Nothobranchius furzeri: one gene and its partners. The protein of the gene in region 4 purifies or fractionates together with the protein of the main gene of each other region. This does not show direct contact. Links are inferred from orthologs where the notes say so. Each region holds a gene or a part of one and is shown on either strand. Other genes may lie near its edges. The genes, in order: wwc1, NEDD4-like E3 ubiquitin-protein ligase WWP1, stxbp4, tyrosine-protein phosphatase non-receptor type 14 and pdlim7.

The links.
Region 1: the proteins of tyrosine-protein phosphatase non-receptor type 14 (region 4) and wwc1 purify together in Homo sapiens (affinity purification with mass spectrometry; 7 studies listed by BioGRID and IntAct, counting the BioPlex papers as one, with this or other methods). This does not show direct contact. The link is inferred for Nothobranchius furzeri from reciprocal best matches to the Homo sapiens genes PTPN14 and WWC1.
Region 2: the proteins of tyrosine-protein phosphatase non-receptor type 14 (region 4) and NEDD4-like E3 ubiquitin-protein ligase WWP1 purify together in Homo sapiens (affinity purification with mass spectrometry; 3 studies listed by BioGRID). This does not show direct contact. The link is inferred for Nothobranchius furzeri from reciprocal best matches to the Homo sapiens genes PTPN14 and WWP1.
Region 3: the proteins of tyrosine-protein phosphatase non-receptor type 14 (region 4) and stxbp4 purify together in Homo sapiens (affinity purification with mass spectrometry; 3 studies listed by BioGRID and IntAct, counting the BioPlex papers as one, with this or other methods). This does not show direct contact. The link is inferred for Nothobranchius furzeri from reciprocal best matches to the Homo sapiens genes PTPN14 and STXBP4.
Region 5: the proteins of tyrosine-protein phosphatase non-receptor type 14 (region 4) and pdlim7 purify together in Homo sapiens (affinity purification with mass spectrometry; 3 studies listed by BioGRID and IntAct, counting the BioPlex papers as one, with this or other methods). This does not show direct contact. The link is inferred for Nothobranchius furzeri from reciprocal best matches to the Homo sapiens genes PTPN14 and PDLIM7.

Annotation. Positions count from the first base shown.
Region 1 is NC_091750.1:71,332,295-71,335,813, reverse strand, and holds part of wwc1 (protein KIBRA), read right to left. Parts: intron 1,896-3,519; coding exon 1,703-1,895; intron 1,635-1,702; coding exon 1,494-1,634; intron 1,271-1,493; coding exon 1,227-1,270; intron 1,114-1,226; coding exon 945-1,113; intron 857-944; coding exon 686-856; intron 601-685; coding exon 508-600; intron 1-507. UniProt on the Homo sapiens protein: Regulator of the Hippo signaling pathway, also known as the Salvador-Warts-Hippo (SWH) pathway.
Region 2 is NC_091747.1:36,665,736-36,669,254, forward strand, and holds part of NEDD4-like E3 ubiquitin-protein ligase WWP1, read right to left. Parts: intron 2,754-3,519; coding exon 2,620-2,753; intron 109-2,619; coding exon 1-108. UniProt on the Homo sapiens protein: E3 ubiquitin-protein ligase which accepts ubiquitin from an E2 ubiquitin-conjugating enzyme in the form of a thioester and then directly transfers the ubiquitin to targeted substrates.
Region 3 is NC_091756.1:51,671,563-51,675,081, reverse strand, and holds part of stxbp4 (syntaxin-binding protein 4), read left to right. Parts: intron 1-20; coding exon 21-177; intron 178-2,638; coding exon 2,639-2,771; intron 2,772-3,008; coding exon 3,009-3,115; intron 3,116-3,193; coding exon 3,194-3,413; intron 3,414-3,519. UniProt on the Homo sapiens protein: Plays a role in the translocation of transport vesicles from the cytoplasm to the plasma membrane. Inhibits the translocation of SLC2A4 from intracellular vesicles to the plasma membrane by STX4A binding and preventing the interaction between STX4A and VAMP2.
Region 4 is NC_091742.1:4,858,022-4,860,804, forward strand, and holds the end of tyrosine-protein phosphatase non-receptor type 14, read right to left. Parts: intron 1,704-2,783; coding exon 1,575-1,703; intron 1,452-1,574; coding exon 1,217-1,451; intron 1,136-1,216; coding exon 972-1,135; intron 850-971; coding exon 721-849; 3' UTR 504-720; downstream 1-503. UniProt on the Homo sapiens protein: Protein tyrosine phosphatase which may play a role in the regulation of lymphangiogenesis, cell-cell adhesion, cell-matrix adhesion, cell migration, cell growth and also regulates TGF-beta gene expression, thereby modulating epithelial-mesenchymal transition.
Region 5 is NC_091741.1:103,112,478-103,115,996, forward strand, and holds part of pdlim7 (PDZ and LIM domain protein 7), read right to left. Parts: intron 2,229-3,519; coding exon 2,048-2,228; intron 1,940-2,047; coding exon 1,819-1,939; intron 1-1,818. UniProt on the Homo sapiens protein: May function as a scaffold on which the coordinated assembly of proteins can occur. May play a role as an adapter that, via its PDZ domain, localizes LIM-binding proteins to actin filaments of both skeletal muscle and nonmuscle tissues.

The DNA of each region.
Region 1 (3,519 bases), on a different chromosome or scaffold from region 4:
TGTCTGGAGCGCGTCAACAATCACAGCTTTGCATGTGCAAGCTGGTTAAGGTTAGGATGGGGGTGAGGGGAAGGTTAAATTGCAAGAGGGTAAATGTCACAATTTGGTTAGATGTCCGTTTTACGGCGGGCGTCAGTACCGACGCTCTGGCACAGCGCGTTGCCTCCGGATGCGCAGGAGCTTGTCACCTGCTGACTTTTCTGAGGACTGCATCTTGTCAGTCATCATCACGTGACAGCGACTAGTCGATGAAAGGCATAAAAAGCAGTGAAGTCGACTAGTCGATACAACCCCTAGTCCACACACACACTGGCCCAGAACCGCTTAAGTCGGTTAAAAAGATGCAGCTGCTCTCAGAAAAACAATAAAAACCTGCAGTAAACACCAAACACATCGTCACAAATGTTTACTGCATCTCATCCGCTCGGGGCTGACTCCAGAAAGGAGCAAGTTCCCACTGACTCCGATGTTAAAGACGCCTATCTCACAGCAGGAATAACTCTCTACCTTCTTCATGCGCATGCTTCGCCGTTCTGAGGCATTCCTGACAAACGGAGACCTCTTGGAGAGGGTGGAGCTGTCGCTGTCGCTGCGATTAATCTGCAAATCAAAACAGCTTTTAGAATAAAACCATCAGAAACATGAGAAGTTCCTCTTTCTGTTGCCATGGGAGCGGTTCTGGTACCCTGCAGATGTACTGGCTCTGAGGTCCAGGGGAAAAGGTCTTGGAGCGAATGATGGTGTTGCCCCTCATGAACGGGTTCTGCTGGTGGACGTCCGGGCGGCGCTCTTTGGGTCGAACCACGAAGCAGTGATGGGACGAGGATAATCCATCCGTACTGGTCTCCTTGTTCACCTGGACGGAGGAGACGATGAAGACTTTAGACCTACTGGCATCCGTAACTATCCGTCTTCATCCACAACCAGCAGAAACAAAGTTCTACCTTCTCTGTGATGGGTGCTGCAGCTGGAGGGGGTTTGGTCACCTCCTCCTCCTCCTCCGTCTCCCACTGGCTGCTCTCAGGGTAGAACTCATCTTCTTCCTCCTGAAGCTCCTCCCCATCTCCACCCTCATCTTCATCAAGTACATCTGCCTTCAGATGACCGCTGCACCTGAAGATTTAAAAGCCAAACCCCATTTATTTATCATCAGGTCAGAAGCTGTGAACCAGGGACGAGGCTTTCTACAGAAGGAGCAGCAGAACCAAAGAGGAGGTAAAACTCACCAATCATCACCAGCTCGGTCCTCCTCTCTGCTACCAACACCAGCCTGAAACAAAACATCTCGTCCATTACTCAGAACTCAGCAGCAAATCTACAATAAGGTGTTAAAGTGATGATCAGTCAGGTGACGTTTACCTACATTTAAGTGCGGATTGTTTTTTATTATTAAACTAACAAGAGCAACTTTAAAAATGGCGGGTTTTGTTGTTTAGCTGCTGAGTGTCCTTTCCAACCCAACCACCAGGTGTCAGTGTCCCCCCCACCGGTACCTGATCAGAGTCACCCGTTGCTCTGCTCCCTCTGTCCTTGTTGCTGATCTCAGGCATGTAGAGGCGACTCAGTAGGTTGTACCACTTGGTGCACCTGTCCTCCGAACAGCTGATGTCAGCCAGGCTGATCTGAGCCCCCGCCTGGAGGAAGAACAAATTTTATTACATCCGTCTAAACTCGTCACGTCTAACGGGATCATCACACTAACCAGACACTCCTCGAGGCCCGACGTGCTGCCGTCACAGACGTCAACCCTCAGCGTCTTCTGCCGCAACGCACCGTGGGAAATCTGCATGCCAAACACCTCGTTGATCTCCACGACTTCCTGAGGCAGCGAGCTGCGTGTTCGGAAGAGGCAACGCATGGCCTGGACGGAGGGCAGCACCGCCAGGCGGACGTACCTGCAGGACAAACATTAAACGTCCCGTTGCAGCTTGTTTGTTAGCTTCAGACCAGCCGGAGCGTTTGCTACGAAGCAAACAGCACAGAAACAAACTAAAGCAGATGTTTTAGCTCTAGCAGGTTCAGAAAAGGCTAGACGTCCTCTTTATGGAGAGTTTATTACAGGACAACATCTTGTGGGGATGTAAGGACATATCGATATGCTGAAGTATTGCGATATTTCATGTTCTGATACTGAATCAATATTTGAAAGCGGTGCATCGATTCTTTTACTGTGAATTTACATGCAAACATTTACTGTATTTATTTTGTGAGATGTAACTCAAACTCCAACAGCTAGGTGGCAGCAGTTTTTACCCATTTCTGTCAGAAGGAACCACGATAACACTGGGCGTGTCTGGAAGCGTCTGGGTCGAGTTCTTGATTAAATTCACTCTTAACTCATTCGCTGCCAGCATTTCTCACTGTTTTTACTGTTTTTTTAAGAGTCACTGAACGGTGCGCGCTAGGATGATGTCAACGCCAAAACAAAGCGGAGACTCACCTCTTACATCAGGAAGAATCCGCACGTTTCGAGCGTTATCCGTTCTTTCATAATCCGTTGTTGAATTGTGGTCGGCAGAAGCTTTTCCGGTTCGCGCCTCACTTTTTTTACAACAGTGGCCCAAAACGATCTCCTAACACATGGATGTTCTGCTTCCTGATCACGTGACGTGTGACGTATGCGGATGAAGATCAACTTTAGAGCTGAGATGTTTGTTCTCACGGTGCGGGGGCTCGTCCGACGCCCACACAGTAAAAAATGAACGAGTTAAGAACAGCAAATATGATGCTTGCTTTTAGTATTGCAATATATCATATCGTCTCCCCTGTACTGTGATTAACATCGTACGGCCAGATTCTCGCTAATACACACTCCTATTATCTCATAAATCCCTTCCCCCTGAAGGTCACAAGGGCCAGAGATGTTTGACGACACTCCTGAAGATGTACTGCTGTGAGACTGTTTGGCGATCAGATTCAAAGCTACATTAATGCTGAAATATTCTCGTTCCTCTAAATCATCATCGCATCAACAAACTACAGTTTGATGAGCTCGACACACGGGAGGCGACAAACAACCTCGATCAGCGAAATTCGTCGCTTTAATTACCTGACACACGGGAGGCGACCCGCGGCAGCGGCAAAGCCGTCGGCGCGTTCTGTTCCATGGCGAAATCGAATCATCCGTTGTTTTGATTGGCTGTGTCAGGTTGGAGGGAATTAAGGTTATTTAAGTGGTTCAGAGTTAAAAAAGTGGTAGATATGATGTGTCACAAGGTGCCGCTAGAGTTATGTGAAATCTTACTTCTGATTTTACAATATAAAAAAAACTTCGAGAATGGGTTCGTCCCATATTACAAACCAGAGAAAGAAACGGAGAATACCATCATTTAATGAGGGACCTCAAGTACGATCCCAATGTGTTCTTTCTGGCACCGACAATTTCCCTTTTGGGAACTTCTCTATATTCTTTGGTAGAAATATTGTACAGTTCTGGGAAATCCGTCACAGCAAGTATCAACTTCTCCTCCATGTTTGCTCGGAGGTGTACGGAGCATCCTGTCTGCTCATTGGTCAGTG
Region 2 (3,519 bases), on a different chromosome or scaffold from region 4:
AGGATGTTGGCGCCATCGGGTTTGAGGTCATGAGAAGTGATCTTCCCCAAGATCTCCATGTCAACTGAGAAGTACATCTCCAGACCACATTCCTCTATGTTGTTGTCCCTGAGGGGAGGAGATCCTGCTTATTAGGGGTGTGTCCTGGCAAGAATCTGGCAACACGACATATTCTGGCACGAAAAGTCAGATGATAGTCGCAATTTTTAGGACTAAAATTAATCGTACAAGTCAGTTCAGACACCTCTGGTGATTTTGTGAGAATAAAGGAGGAAAATCCTGCTGCCCCCTAGCAGTTGGAGTGTGAATTGCACCACACAATAAAAATTCTGGAAATGTTTGAATGAAAATGCTCAATAAAAATAAATCAATGCACAGCTTTTAAACACAGATTTAGTATCATGACATTTCAGTGTGTCGACAAGCTCATACTTGTTTCTTGTTTCAAATGAAAACAAAGAAACTGACTCAGAGCTGCTCACAACACTTTCAGGCTGTGGGTCTCCCTGATCCTGCCTCAGGCAGCTCTTCCCTCCAGTCCAGCAGAGAGGAGGCTGTTTGGTGCAGAAGTCTGAGGTGTGACCAGTGGAAATGTAAAACGTTACGTGCTAAGAGAGCTCTGGTTCAGTTTAGTTTAGTTTCAGGACCTTTATGTGGAAAAAGAACCCCCGGACTCGCCAAGTGAAGAGCTGACAGAGAAATGCAGCTCGTATGTGTAAGGGTAAACCAACATGGTGGCCTGAGGCTGTGATGATCTGCGAGGCCAGCAGGTGCTTGACACATTCTCTACATAAAGCCATCTATCACGACACCTGCCGTGGTTCGTGCTCAGGGTTTTTCCTGCGTTCAAATTTGCGTGGCGGCCACCTCCAGCTAATGTTGTGCCGCCCCAGCCTGATTTCACTCTGCCCCCAGCTATATGGATGTTATTTTAACTGCAGTTGCAGCGTTGCGCCACTACACAGGTGCTGTATCAGCAGCAGTGCACTAAAAAGCGCGAAAACCGCTGCAAAAAAAGATGAAAAATGGCTTTTCTCGCTAGTTGGTACATATCTTTGGTTGGTGCTATTGACGTCCTGATTTTCCCCCAGGCTCTTCCATATCAGAGTAGGGCTCAGTGCGACAAAAAAAAAAAAAACACTGTCTGTGTGTGTCTGTCTATTTTCCCCAGAACTTTATTGAACAAAAGTAAGTTACGTGTAAGAAAAATGCTTTTTACTGGCACACAGTGTGGAAATCTGGATGCAGTGGAGGAAAATAAAGGAACCAGCAAAGGCAGAACTGGTCCAAAGTTTGGGATCAAAAGTGCTGCTACACACAGATAGGCTAAAGCTAACAGGTAGCAGTCTCACGATCAAGTGGCGCACAGAAAAATATATGATGATCGAAAAACTAAGACTAAACTCTACAAGCGGATGAAAAGTCCCCACCATCCTGTTTATCCTGCATCCTGCAGCACTCTGGATCAGAACCGCTGCAGATACGAGTGACATTACTGCTACAAGTCTAAGGCAAGCCGTTGTAGTATATAATCCACAAACGCTTCTATCTCTGAACATAATTTGAACTGGATTATTGCCAACCCGTACATAATGGACATGCCACCATTACACTGTTAGCAGCAGAAATGAAATGTTATTACCATTTCCAATACAAATGCATGTTAATGAAATGCATTATATTTTACTGGATATATTTATGTGTTATTTTGACTAAGATGAGTGTTATTAATACAAACCTAAAATGTTACTGAAATGTAGGTTAAATATTTAAAAATATTTTTAACTATAAATATCAGATGGGAAAAGGGAACTAAACACCAATCTAATGCATATTATTGAGCCTTTTATAATAAGTCTGTTATTTCAGCCTGATCATTTTGTTGTTTTATTTCGTAATTTTTAGCAGCAAACCAGTTTTGTTTCACTTGAAATATTGTCAAATGGAATACTCTATTCATCAACAGAAGCTTAGATTAGAACACTTGACAAAAAAATATTTTGCCTTCAAAAAAGTGAGGCAGTTGAATGCACCGAGTATGCATGTGCTGGTGCATGGTCAGGACGGTACCACCTCTGCCTCCATTTGATTCAGGAAAAACCCTGTTGCTGTACCGGCTAGACCTGGTAAAAGTCTCATGGAGCTGGTTAAAATCTAAACAATTAATGACAAAGCCTGCAAAGATATAACTTATGCAACATTTTATTCACTTTTTTTTTCAGTTCTCTTTTATCTCAGTGATTTATTTAGTTCTGTTCCACAGTGTTAACTTAAAGATCTGGTACTCAGGAGTCTTTTTCATTTTCAACGTTTGAAATGTTGTCCTTGCTCTTATTTCCGATGCAGGTAGGGTTGTGGGTTCAAAAATACCTCCCAAACTGAATAAACGCCTATGAAGAGAAGAAGGGTTTGTTCAAACGGACTCTAAACATGGAGCACTGAGCACATTTGTTCATAATGGGATGCTTTTTCTCTCAGAAATCACGTGAATGAACAAAATCCTTTCAGTAATATTTTAAAAGAACTTTCCTCTTGAAGGAATCTTGAAGGTGATTCGTAACACCCGTAACCTGCATGTCTATCGGCCACACCAAACGATGCTACAGCCCTGATGTTTACCTGATCCATATGAGTGAGTTGTAGAATTCTGGGTCGATGGACTCCAGGTCTTTAAGGATCAGCTTCTTGTTCAGCATGCGTTTGTAGAAAGGCAAGGAGAAGCCCGTGTCGATGAACTTCCCGTGGAAAAGGGCCTACAGGAACACAAGAGATGACTAATTACAGAAATACAGATTATGTGCAGGTTCGTGCATAAAAGTGAAAACATATGAATGGCTGCTGATTGAAAAACATCCGGAAATTAAAGCTGCAATAAAAAAATCTGCAAAACTGGCTAACTTTTAAACACAAAGACAGTCAGAGAACTCTCACCCTTCTTGTCAGCCATCATCCCTAGGCCACTCCCCCCTGATATGGGAACCCGCATTGTCAGAGAGAGTGCTAAACACCAGTCACCAGTTTCTAGATCCAAGCATTTTTTGTTGTCTGTGACTTCAAATGGTGTTTTTCTTTCTGGTAGTTTGTCCTAAAGTTGAAGTGGTAGCAGCCACCTGTTTCTGATTCTCTGATGTTATTGAGCGGAGAACCTCTCACACCAGTGGTATTCTGATGCTAAATAACTGAGTGTGTGTGATGAATGGAGGACCCAGGGAAATGCAGCAGTTCAGTGAGCCAGTGTTGGACAGCCGTCTTCTGACCAGACACCGCACTAAACAGTTTTGTGGGACAGTTAGGTGTCCTAGGGGGAGCTCTCTATGAGCTGTTAGCTGTTTATTGTGTCAGTAGCTAAAATAAAGAGTAGCAGTTGGCAAACAGTGAATAAATAGCTCAAGAAGAAAACTCAATTCTGTTGGCATCATGGCAGAGCCTGGAAGTAGGAGAGTAGTGTCTCTGGAGGAGAAGCAAAGAGCTAAAAGTCGGCACAGCCTAAGGAGCTAAAGGAGGCTATGAAACTACGGA
Region 3 (3,519 bases), on a different chromosome or scaffold from region 4:
TTTCTCTTGTTTCTGCTCAGGGAAACTGATGGACACGGCATCCTCCTCCTCTTCCTCCCGATCAGAGAGCCCCCAACTCCTCAGTCCCAAAGAGGGAGGTGTCACTGCCTACCCCCACACGCCGCACTACACTAGCAACCCCGCCTACAGCATGCACACATCAGTGCACGCCTTCAGGTACAACAGCTGCAGAGGGTTTGAGAAGACTGATGGGGTTGTCTGTGCTGCACACCCAGAATAAACCTAATATAAAAAGTGATCAAAAAGAGAAAAAAGAGAAAAATAAATAAATAAAAATAAAAAAAATGGGACACACAACAATACAACAAGAGCAAGCTATCACTGCGTCAACTTGAACAATCAACATTGTTTAACTGAACAATCACACGATAATTAATCACAGTGCATTTAGTGCCCACCATAGCCTTAAGACCTGTGTTGAACGTGCCCAAAGCCATACTTATGAGAGCACCATGTGAGTACCTGTGTGCGTACACGCGCTTGTATATGTAAGGTTTCTCTATGGGAGCATCCAGTAGAGAGTGTGAGGGGCCACATATCTGCCCCCCAAAGATGCATATGAGATGGAGGGAGCTCCAAGTCCCAGAGATCCAGGTGCTGCCCCAGAATACAGGAACCCCAAGGAGACTGCAACCAGAAAGGCCCCCGCCCCCCTCAAGAGGTGCAGAGGATTGCCCCAGGGGGCCACAACCAGCAGCCGGCAGAATCCCGGGAGATATAAGTGGCAAGCCCACAGGCCCGCCCGCAGCCTCCCACCCCCTAGCCGGCCGAGCCCAGGACCCAGCGACCCGGGACCCAGGGGCGACCACCCCCGCCGGGGACCCAGCAGAGCCCAGGGACCCAGACCCCACCAGGCAGCCACCGGGATTGATCAGGCAGACGCCAAAAATCTTAAACCCCCTGACCCGGGAGCATGGACATAATTGGGGGGGGGGGGGGGTGACATGTCCCCCCCACTTTTTCCAAGTCAAGTTTTGACCCCTGCACTTTTTACCATCCAAAAACAATATTACTTTATATTAAATTGACACTGGTTGAGCTCTAGGACCAAGCGGAAAACAACCGTTTGTGTTGAAGCCTGTTTCCCATTAGAGCATACTGTAAAGATACCCCCCCACCCCCGTGTCCCCCCCACTTCTAAAGCGAAAATGACGTCCATGCCCGGGAACCACGAACATTCAGGCAGACCAAGGCACCGCACTCCACACCAGGTGTGGCAGGGAGGGGGAAGACGAAGATCTATATCATCAAAAGAAGTCCCAGGAGAAGGGAGGAGTCAAAGGCCCCACCTGACATATATAGTCATACACAAACACAGTCAAGTCACACACTCCCTTCCTCATGCTCACACATACACATACAACCAAAGACTTACAAAAATGCACGCTGGACACCCACTCATGCTCTCCATACACACCCTATTCACTCTGGTCCCGGTACTGCTGCACATGGGGTACAACCATTGCCGGTTCCCAGAGTTTGACCCTTTCTGCTGGGGTGCTGATGAGCAGGTTCCCCCGCCCAACGCTTAGCACAGCAACCCACCACCCCAGACTCCAACCAGATGGCCAGATCTCCCTCCTAGCCTCCAGCCCCAGGAAGCCAAGCAACAATAGAGGTGTGCAAAGACCCCTAGTCTCCCTCCGCCTGCTCCAATATAGCGTTAGTGTGTGTTGATGAGGTGTATTCCATGGCTTTGGTGAGCGGGCAGTGCGGCCTTCGTCTGGCCTATGCCAGCTGATGCCACCACACCACCCCATTGCACCCACAGTAAGTGAAGTTCGGGGGGGTGGGGGGGTGGGTGAGGGGGTGGGGGGTGGGGGGGTGGGGGGGGGGGGGGTCATAGTCTAGGGGAGACGCTGTGTGTGTGTGTGTGTGTGTGTGTGTGTATATATATATATATATATATATATATATATATATATATATATATATATATATATATATATATATATATATATATATATATATATATATATATATATATACAGTACAGGCCAAAAGTTTGGACACACCTTCTCATTCAATGTGTTGTCTTTATTTTCATGACCATTAACATTGGGAGATTCTCACTGAAGGCATCAAAACTATGAATGAACACATGTGGAGTTATGTACTTAACCAAAAAAGGTGAAATAACAGAAATCATGTTTTTTATTCTATTTTCTTCAAAATAGCCACCCTTTGCTCTGATTACTGCTTTACACACTCTTGGCATTCTCTTGATGAGGTTCAAGAGGTAGTCCCCTGAAAAGGGGTTTCCACCAGTCTTAAAGGACTACCTCTTGGAGCTCATCAAGAGAATTCCAAGAGTGTGTTTAGATAAGGCTGGTATTTTCCTGTCGTCAGCCTTTATAAAATGAAATCACCTGAGGTTATCCCTAACTGAGATTCTCTCCATTTTTCATCCTGTTTAATGCAGCTGCTACAGAATGTTTTTCTCTCGGTTACACAAACGTTAAACTGTGAACCTGCTTCATGGAAACACCAGCAAAACCTATAAATAGTGAAACGCTACTTCAGCTCTTTTAAATGCAGAGCAAGAGAAGGAGGGTTAGAGATTATTTCATGCTGCTGCTGACTAAGTCATCCTCTCGTCTCTTCTCCTTTTCCTCAGTGACAGTGTCATTCAGTTGATATGTGTGGCCAAGGGAACCGGCTTGGGGCTGGTCGTTAAGGGAGGAGCCAATCGAGCCGAAGGACCAATGGTGTTCATTCAGGAAATTGTTTCTGGAGGAGACTGCCAGAAGGTCAGCTTCTGCCATGTTCAGCACACATTTGAGGATGGTATTTGTTTTCCAGACTCATCTTTAAGTTTGTTGAAGATCATCTGCTGTGCATTTTTGTTTTCATGTGAAATCTCCTCCAACTTAAAGTCTGAAAACATCTTCAGTAGTAAAATTTTGGAGATGATTTTTCCAATTAGACTTTGGGTCAGGAGACCTGGTACACAGCAGAACCTGACTGCTGGATTTGTTCTGTTTCAGGATGGCCGCCTGCAGGTGGGAGACCAGTTGGTGTCCATCAACAAAGAGTCTCTGATTGGTGTGACATATGAGGAGGCCAGGAGCATCCTGACTCGCACCAAGCTCAGGTCCAACTCACTTGGAGCAGGAAGTTATTCACCAACCAATGGGGAAGAGTTTGAATTCATCCTGACCTTGTATTTCAGACCTGACCCTACCGTGGAAATTGCCTTCATCAGAAGGAGATCGTCTTCCAGCTCCAGTAGCGGCTCACACAGCCCTGTCTGCCTGCAGGGGGGTGGAGGTGGGCCCCAGTCGAGGGCCACTGGCCCAGGCCCCATGGCTCCACAGCCAAGTGTTGTCACCAAGATCACATCAAGCCGAAACCCAACCTGTGAGACGCTGCCCCCAGTCAACATCACCCAGGTCTGAGAGGAGACAAATACGCACGAGCTGCTGCAAACCGGCTCTCGTTTCAGCTTATTTACAGAAACAGCTTCTTAAAACACTGATTCAATGGTTTTATGATGCA
Region 4 (2,783 bases):
CACTTTGGGAAAATGCCTAAAATGTATTAAATCACGGTAAAAACTGTGATAAGTTGTATAGAAATGGGATCATTTGGAATTTCTAGATGACTTAAAACATTCGTGTTTTTCAAATGCTCTTATGGGTCTAAACTGGATTTTATTTTCATTTGTTTCACAGATAATGTGAGAAAAGTTTACAAAGAATTATTCTGAAAAACTGTAAATGAGTTCAGATCGGTGTGCTCGCCAACAACGAGAAGAAGGTGACCACATTTTTATCAAAATAAATAAAATATCTGTTACAGAACTGAAGTCAGTGCTTGCTGTTCTAATCAACACTCGGTGAATTAAAAAATACTTTAGTTTGGCAAAACGAGGGTGAGAATGTTGTACCACTGCTGCCCCCTACTGTTCATGCAGCATGACACCAAGTCTAATACTGGCTGGAACATGAAATGTAACAGGGACTCAAAGCTGATGATGCTCACCTGTAGTCTCACACACATGCAGACACACGGCAGAAAAGAAAGGCTGTTCTTTAAACCAACCTACATGAAGATCAGGTTCAAAAGACCAAAATCAAGATAAGGAAACAAAAACCTAAATCTGAATACTTTGAGGAAAGGAAAATTCTAATTTCTGCAAAAACAAATTGTGAGTCTGTACCAGGTTACATTATAGCGCCATAAGTTTGGGTCCCACGGTGATCATCTAGTAGCACTAACGGGTTGCCCCGGCTCAGATGAGGCGGGAGTTCTTGAGGAACTGGATGAGGACCTGGTAGACGAACTGGTACTGGGAGATGGTTTGCACCATCAGCATCCTCTGCTGCCTCAGCTTTGACAACATGGTGGGAACTTCTACTGGCTGGAAGGAAAGGAAAAACAAAAAAAAGATGAATTATTTAAACTTACAGAATTATGAAGGAGGCTGCGCTGCAGCACTAATATGAATGAATAATCGCCGTGGTAACAGGAGCATCTACACACCTCGTTGTGCTCCAGGCAGCTGATCATGAGCTCAGTGAGGATTACCACGCCGGTACGGCCCACGCCGGCGCTGCAGTGCACCAACACTGGCGGGTTGAGGCTCTTTGAGGTATCCAGCATGGAGTTGGTGTGTCTCCTCACAGATTGGATCCCTTCCAGGTAGGCTGCAGGGAGAAAAGAGGCGTAGAGCCGAGTGAGTCTTCAGGAGTTAAACGGTAAAGTTGTCATTGTCGTCGTTAACTCACAGAGGAATCCGGGGACGTATTCAGGACAGCCCTGCTCAGGCCAGTCGGTGTACTGCAGGTGCCAAACCGTCCTCTCTTGGCCAGACAGCAAGTGTTTGACCTTTAACCCTGTGGTGGCGTAGCAGTTATACTCGGTGCGGAATTTGGTGGTCACCTTGTACTTGCCGTGTGTGGCCGAGTTGTGTTTGGAGCCCAGTTTGGGCCAGTAGCGGTGACTCTTGGACCTGCCGCACTCCTGAATTGGACATCGATACGAGATGATTCGTGGGTGAAAGTAGAGAATGAGATATCCATCTGTTTCTAACAGCTGTTGGCCACTAGAAACTATTCACATCTGTGTGTGCCACATTGTGTATACCTCTTCTGCAGTAACCATGGCGATCACATTGACCCCCTGCTCCCAGACCATCTGCCAGAAGTCGCCGCAGGTGTGGGCCAGCGGGCCCTGAGTGGCGATGTAGTGCCACTCCTCCCCTCTGATCATAACCTGAGAAAGAATATTTATTAATCATTATTAAAACTACACTAATATCACAAATCTTCATGAAGAAAACCTGTAAAACAATGAGGTTTAGTTTGATTAAAAGCGCTGTTTCTGCACATATTCACCACTAGATGGCAGTATAAATAGATACTTTTTCCTCTCATAGTTTTTTGCTCTTTATTATGAAAATTACACATTTTCCATTTTCCACACAGTTCTAACATTTTTACCTAATGGTCAACTGGTTTCTCGTCCATCTCCTGATTGTAAACACCGTACTTTTAGTCGAATCAAGAATAAAGTGCTTTATTTTCCTAAATAAACCACCCTACCTTAATTCCAAGGAAATAAATCAGACAGATGTTACCAAGCTTCTATTTCACATTTTTATTATTTAAGTTGGTGTTCACAGACTGCAATGAGAGAAACTGGAGTTTCTTAAGAGGGTTGGAGTTTGAACTACATTCTTTAGTAATTCCAAAGAGCTCTTAGAGCTTAAGGGCCCAAACAACCTTCAATGGCTGCCTTTCATCCTCTCCTCCAAGTTATTTCCTGACTCGGTTCATTTATTTTATTCTTCACTGTAATTCAGCCTGAATTATACCACTGATGCAAAAAGCTCTGAGATTAGACGTTTTTCAGAACATAGTAAACACTAGAATTTTAATTTAGACTTTTATTCTAAGCAGATATGATCAATGTGTTATTTTCATGAATTGGCTTTAAGACACTGACTGGGTTAGGGTTAGAAATGGTAAATATTTCATTGTTCAGTTCCCTATATGAAATCCCTTCATTTCTGAACAAACCTGCTTGAAATTTTTGAACATTTGGTTAATTTGCAAATAAATTAGAGAAAATAAATTATAAAAACATATCCATAAGCAGTGTGAATAAATCTTTCGACGTCAAGCAGGGAGGTGTTTTAAATAATAGGAAAAAGGAAAAATGGTTACAGGTGTGGTTCACTAATTTAATCAATACATTTCCAGTGGTAGGAATTAATGCCTTGCCGCCGTACTCAGGGCGCAGGAAGCCCACAAACGCCTGGCTCAGCAGGGATAAGTCTGCAACATCAGAGGA
Region 5 (3,519 bases), on a different chromosome or scaffold from region 4:
CATTCACTTAATATCAATTATAACATTATAAATAACAAGTCACTACAGTCTGGGCATAGAACGTGTTTCTATGAACTAAAGCTTGTTGGGTTAGGGTTAGCAGCAGCTCACCTCTTCCTATCACACTGACAGGAGAAATCCCCTCGTCAGCATCAGGCGGTCTATAGAGTGTCATGACTGAACCTCTCATTGTTACACCAGAGCTCGTCTCCATTGGCGCTAATTAGTGCGACTAGATTCTACAAAGATTTCATAAATAAACGCACAACTTAGATCTGTGGCTCGTATTTAACCAAAACCAGAGTGCACTATGGGAGCAAGACACCAGCTCCCGTGCAACACGTGATCAAATGGGAAGAGTCAAAGATTATACAGGAGTCAAGAGCAATTCCTGAATGTAAAAAATTGTAGTTTTTCTAGATAAATGTGGAGCAGAGTTTTTAACCTGAAGATGGAGATATAATTACGGTTGTGGGCTGAAATATTAAATTTGAAGTAAGTTGAACTTAACTGTGACACTAATGATTACACATGTCTACAGCACCATTACGACACTCATCTATACTGGTTATCAGCAAATAAAAAAAAGGTAACACTTTAGCTTAGGGAACACAAATTAACCATTAATTAGCTGCCAATTAATATGCGTATTAGTGGACTACTAAGTCTGAACTTGTCATTATTAAGCATTTATTAACTGCTTATTACTAATGCCGTAATTTTTGAATGCTGTAAAGTGATCCTGTTTCTCTTTATAGTTCAGCCTAATGACTCCTTACAGCTCCTCGTTGAATGCTGCAATGATGTGAAGAGCTGGCTGTCAGAAAACTTTCTTTTGCTGAACGATGCCAAGACAGAGGCCATCATTTTCAGCCCTAGGACTTCTCAAAGTCCCCAACTGACCCTTCCTTTTATCACAAGTGGGTTGAAAACCCATGTCACAAACTTAGGGGTTGTGATGGATGCAAAACTAAAAATGGACATTCATGTCAACCAGGAAGTTAAGACCTGTTTTTACCACCTGAGGCGTCTCTCTAAAGTTAAGTCCATTTTAAAAAGGCGTCATCTCCATTCAGTAGTCCATGCTTTCATTACCTCCCGTCTCGACTACTCTAACTCAGTGCTATATGGTATCTCCTCCTCCACTCTCGCTCGCCTTCAGCTTGTGCAGAACGCAGCAGCTCGATTCTTGACTGGCACCAGGCAGCGAGAACACATCACACCGGTTTTAGCAAATCTCCATTGGCTACCCATCCATCTCCGGATAGAGTTTAAGATCCTGGTTTTTGTGTTTAAATCCCTCAATACCTTAGCACCTGGCTACTTGTCTGAGCTCATTCACCCATATGCCCTTACAAGATCCCTCCGATCAGCTGACCAGCGCTTCCTACATGTCCCTAGCTCCTGCTGTAAATCCCGCTGGGAGCACGCCTTTTCAGTTTGTGCACCGAAGCTCTGGAACCACTTGCCCCTCCTGATCAGACTCTCGTCCTCTCTTTCCCTTTTTAAGTCTCGTTTAAAAACTCACTTTTATTCGTTGGACGTTAATTCAGTCTAACTTATTCTCTTTCTCCTTTTCTTTTCGATTTGAATGACTCAATTTTAATGGATTCACTTCTTTGTGCGTGTGGGCGCGCACATCTTCACAAAGCGGAGCACTGACTCCTCTCAGACATGCGGAAGTTGAACTCATCATATTTTAGAAATTAAATAGATGTGTTGCTGTTTAACACGTTTACTAGAAATCTTAAAAAACATAAAATGAAAACTTGGATTACATGATTAACTGCATTACATGCGTATGTGAATGTGTCTCACCTCTCTCACAGTATGGCTCACCCTCCTCCATGTAAAAAGCCTGATTCCGGATGGGAACTTTGCAGGCAGCACATTTAAAACATTGAACATGGTAGGTCATCTTCAGAGCGTGCATGATCTCCTGAAAACAGAAGTTTCACATGTTTATCTTTTTCCTTTTCTGGTCAAGCTAACTTTCTGGTTTGAAGTTTTCTGAAAGAACAGAAAAGAAAAAAATAGCAGCTCTTACTCCAGAAATCTTCTTCTTGCACTTGGCACAGGTCGAAGCATATCGGTTATCATGGCACTTTGTGCAGTAGACAGATCCTCTCTCCTCGAAGAAGCCCCCTTCCTCAAGAACTGCCTTACAATGAGAGCATGTAAACTCCTCTGGGTGCCAGGACTGACCCAGGGCCACCAGGTACCGACCCCTGGAGAAGATGAAAACACACAATTTTTATTTAATTATTTATTTAACCAGGTGAGGGACTCATTGAGATGTCAATTCTCATTCACAAAAGTGACAGGGGCCTTATTCATAAAAACAGGGTCTGAAAACTTCATAATTCAATTCAATTCAATTCAATTTTATTTATATAGCGCCAAATCACAACAAGAGTTGTCTCAAGGCACTTCACATAACAAACATTCCAATTCAGGTCAGTTCATTAAGCCATTCAAATTGCAGCAATCCTCATACTAAGCAAGCATAAAGCGACAGTGGAGAGGAAAACTCCCTTTTAACAGGAAAAAACCTCCAGAGAATCCTGGCTCAGTATAAGCAGCCATCCTCCACGACTCACTGGGGATGGAGAAGACAGAACAGGCACACACACACACACACACACACACACACACACACACACACACACAAAGACGAAGTAATTTGTCTATAGTTATATTGTGATTTCTTAGTAAATATTCCATTTGGTGAGAGATAAACTTTATTGTATGTATCCTAGTGGATCTATAATTAAACGGATAAACTAGTAGTAGCACATCCAGCATCAAGGAAAGCAAAAAGTTATTATCAGGAGAGGGAGAATGTTTAAGTGGTTAGCAGCAGTGTGCTAGATGATAGCCCCCTCCATGAGGCCACCACAGCTCAGCAGAACATCATTGTAGCTTCTTGTGGGGAGAAAAACACTTACCCCGGCTTTCCACAGCAGCCGTCAGCAGCACGTTACTGCAGCAGCACGTCATAGCTGCTGATAGGAACGGCTGTGGTCAACAGAACCTTTTCCACAGGAGCCGTCAGCAGCGCGAGTCGGCCGCGTCTCAGGAGCAGCATGTCGCGGCCTTTACGCGCCGGTTCTATTTCCTACGCGCGACGCCTCTGAAACGGGTCAAGTTTGACATTTTTGGGGAAGGAAAGACAGGAAATCGGACGCGGAAATGGAGAGAAGCTCCCGAGATTTTCAGAATAAAGAACGTACTGCCTTCCGGTCGCTTTACTTTAAAAAAGGTTACTAACTGTGCGGCCCCGTGAGAAGTTATCACCAACTAGCGGTCTCCTTTGTTTTTCAGGTCCGTATTGGCGATTATAAAATGGACAGAATATAAAAACACAAACATTTTGGAACCATGTTGTAGTTTTCTCCTGCTTGTTGTTGTGTTTACTGACGAAGTCACTCGTGTGACTTCGTGCCCTGTCGGTGACAGCTGCTCCTCTGCTGCGTCGCGTCTCGTGGGAAGGGCCAAGCAGCAGCTAGACGTGCTGCT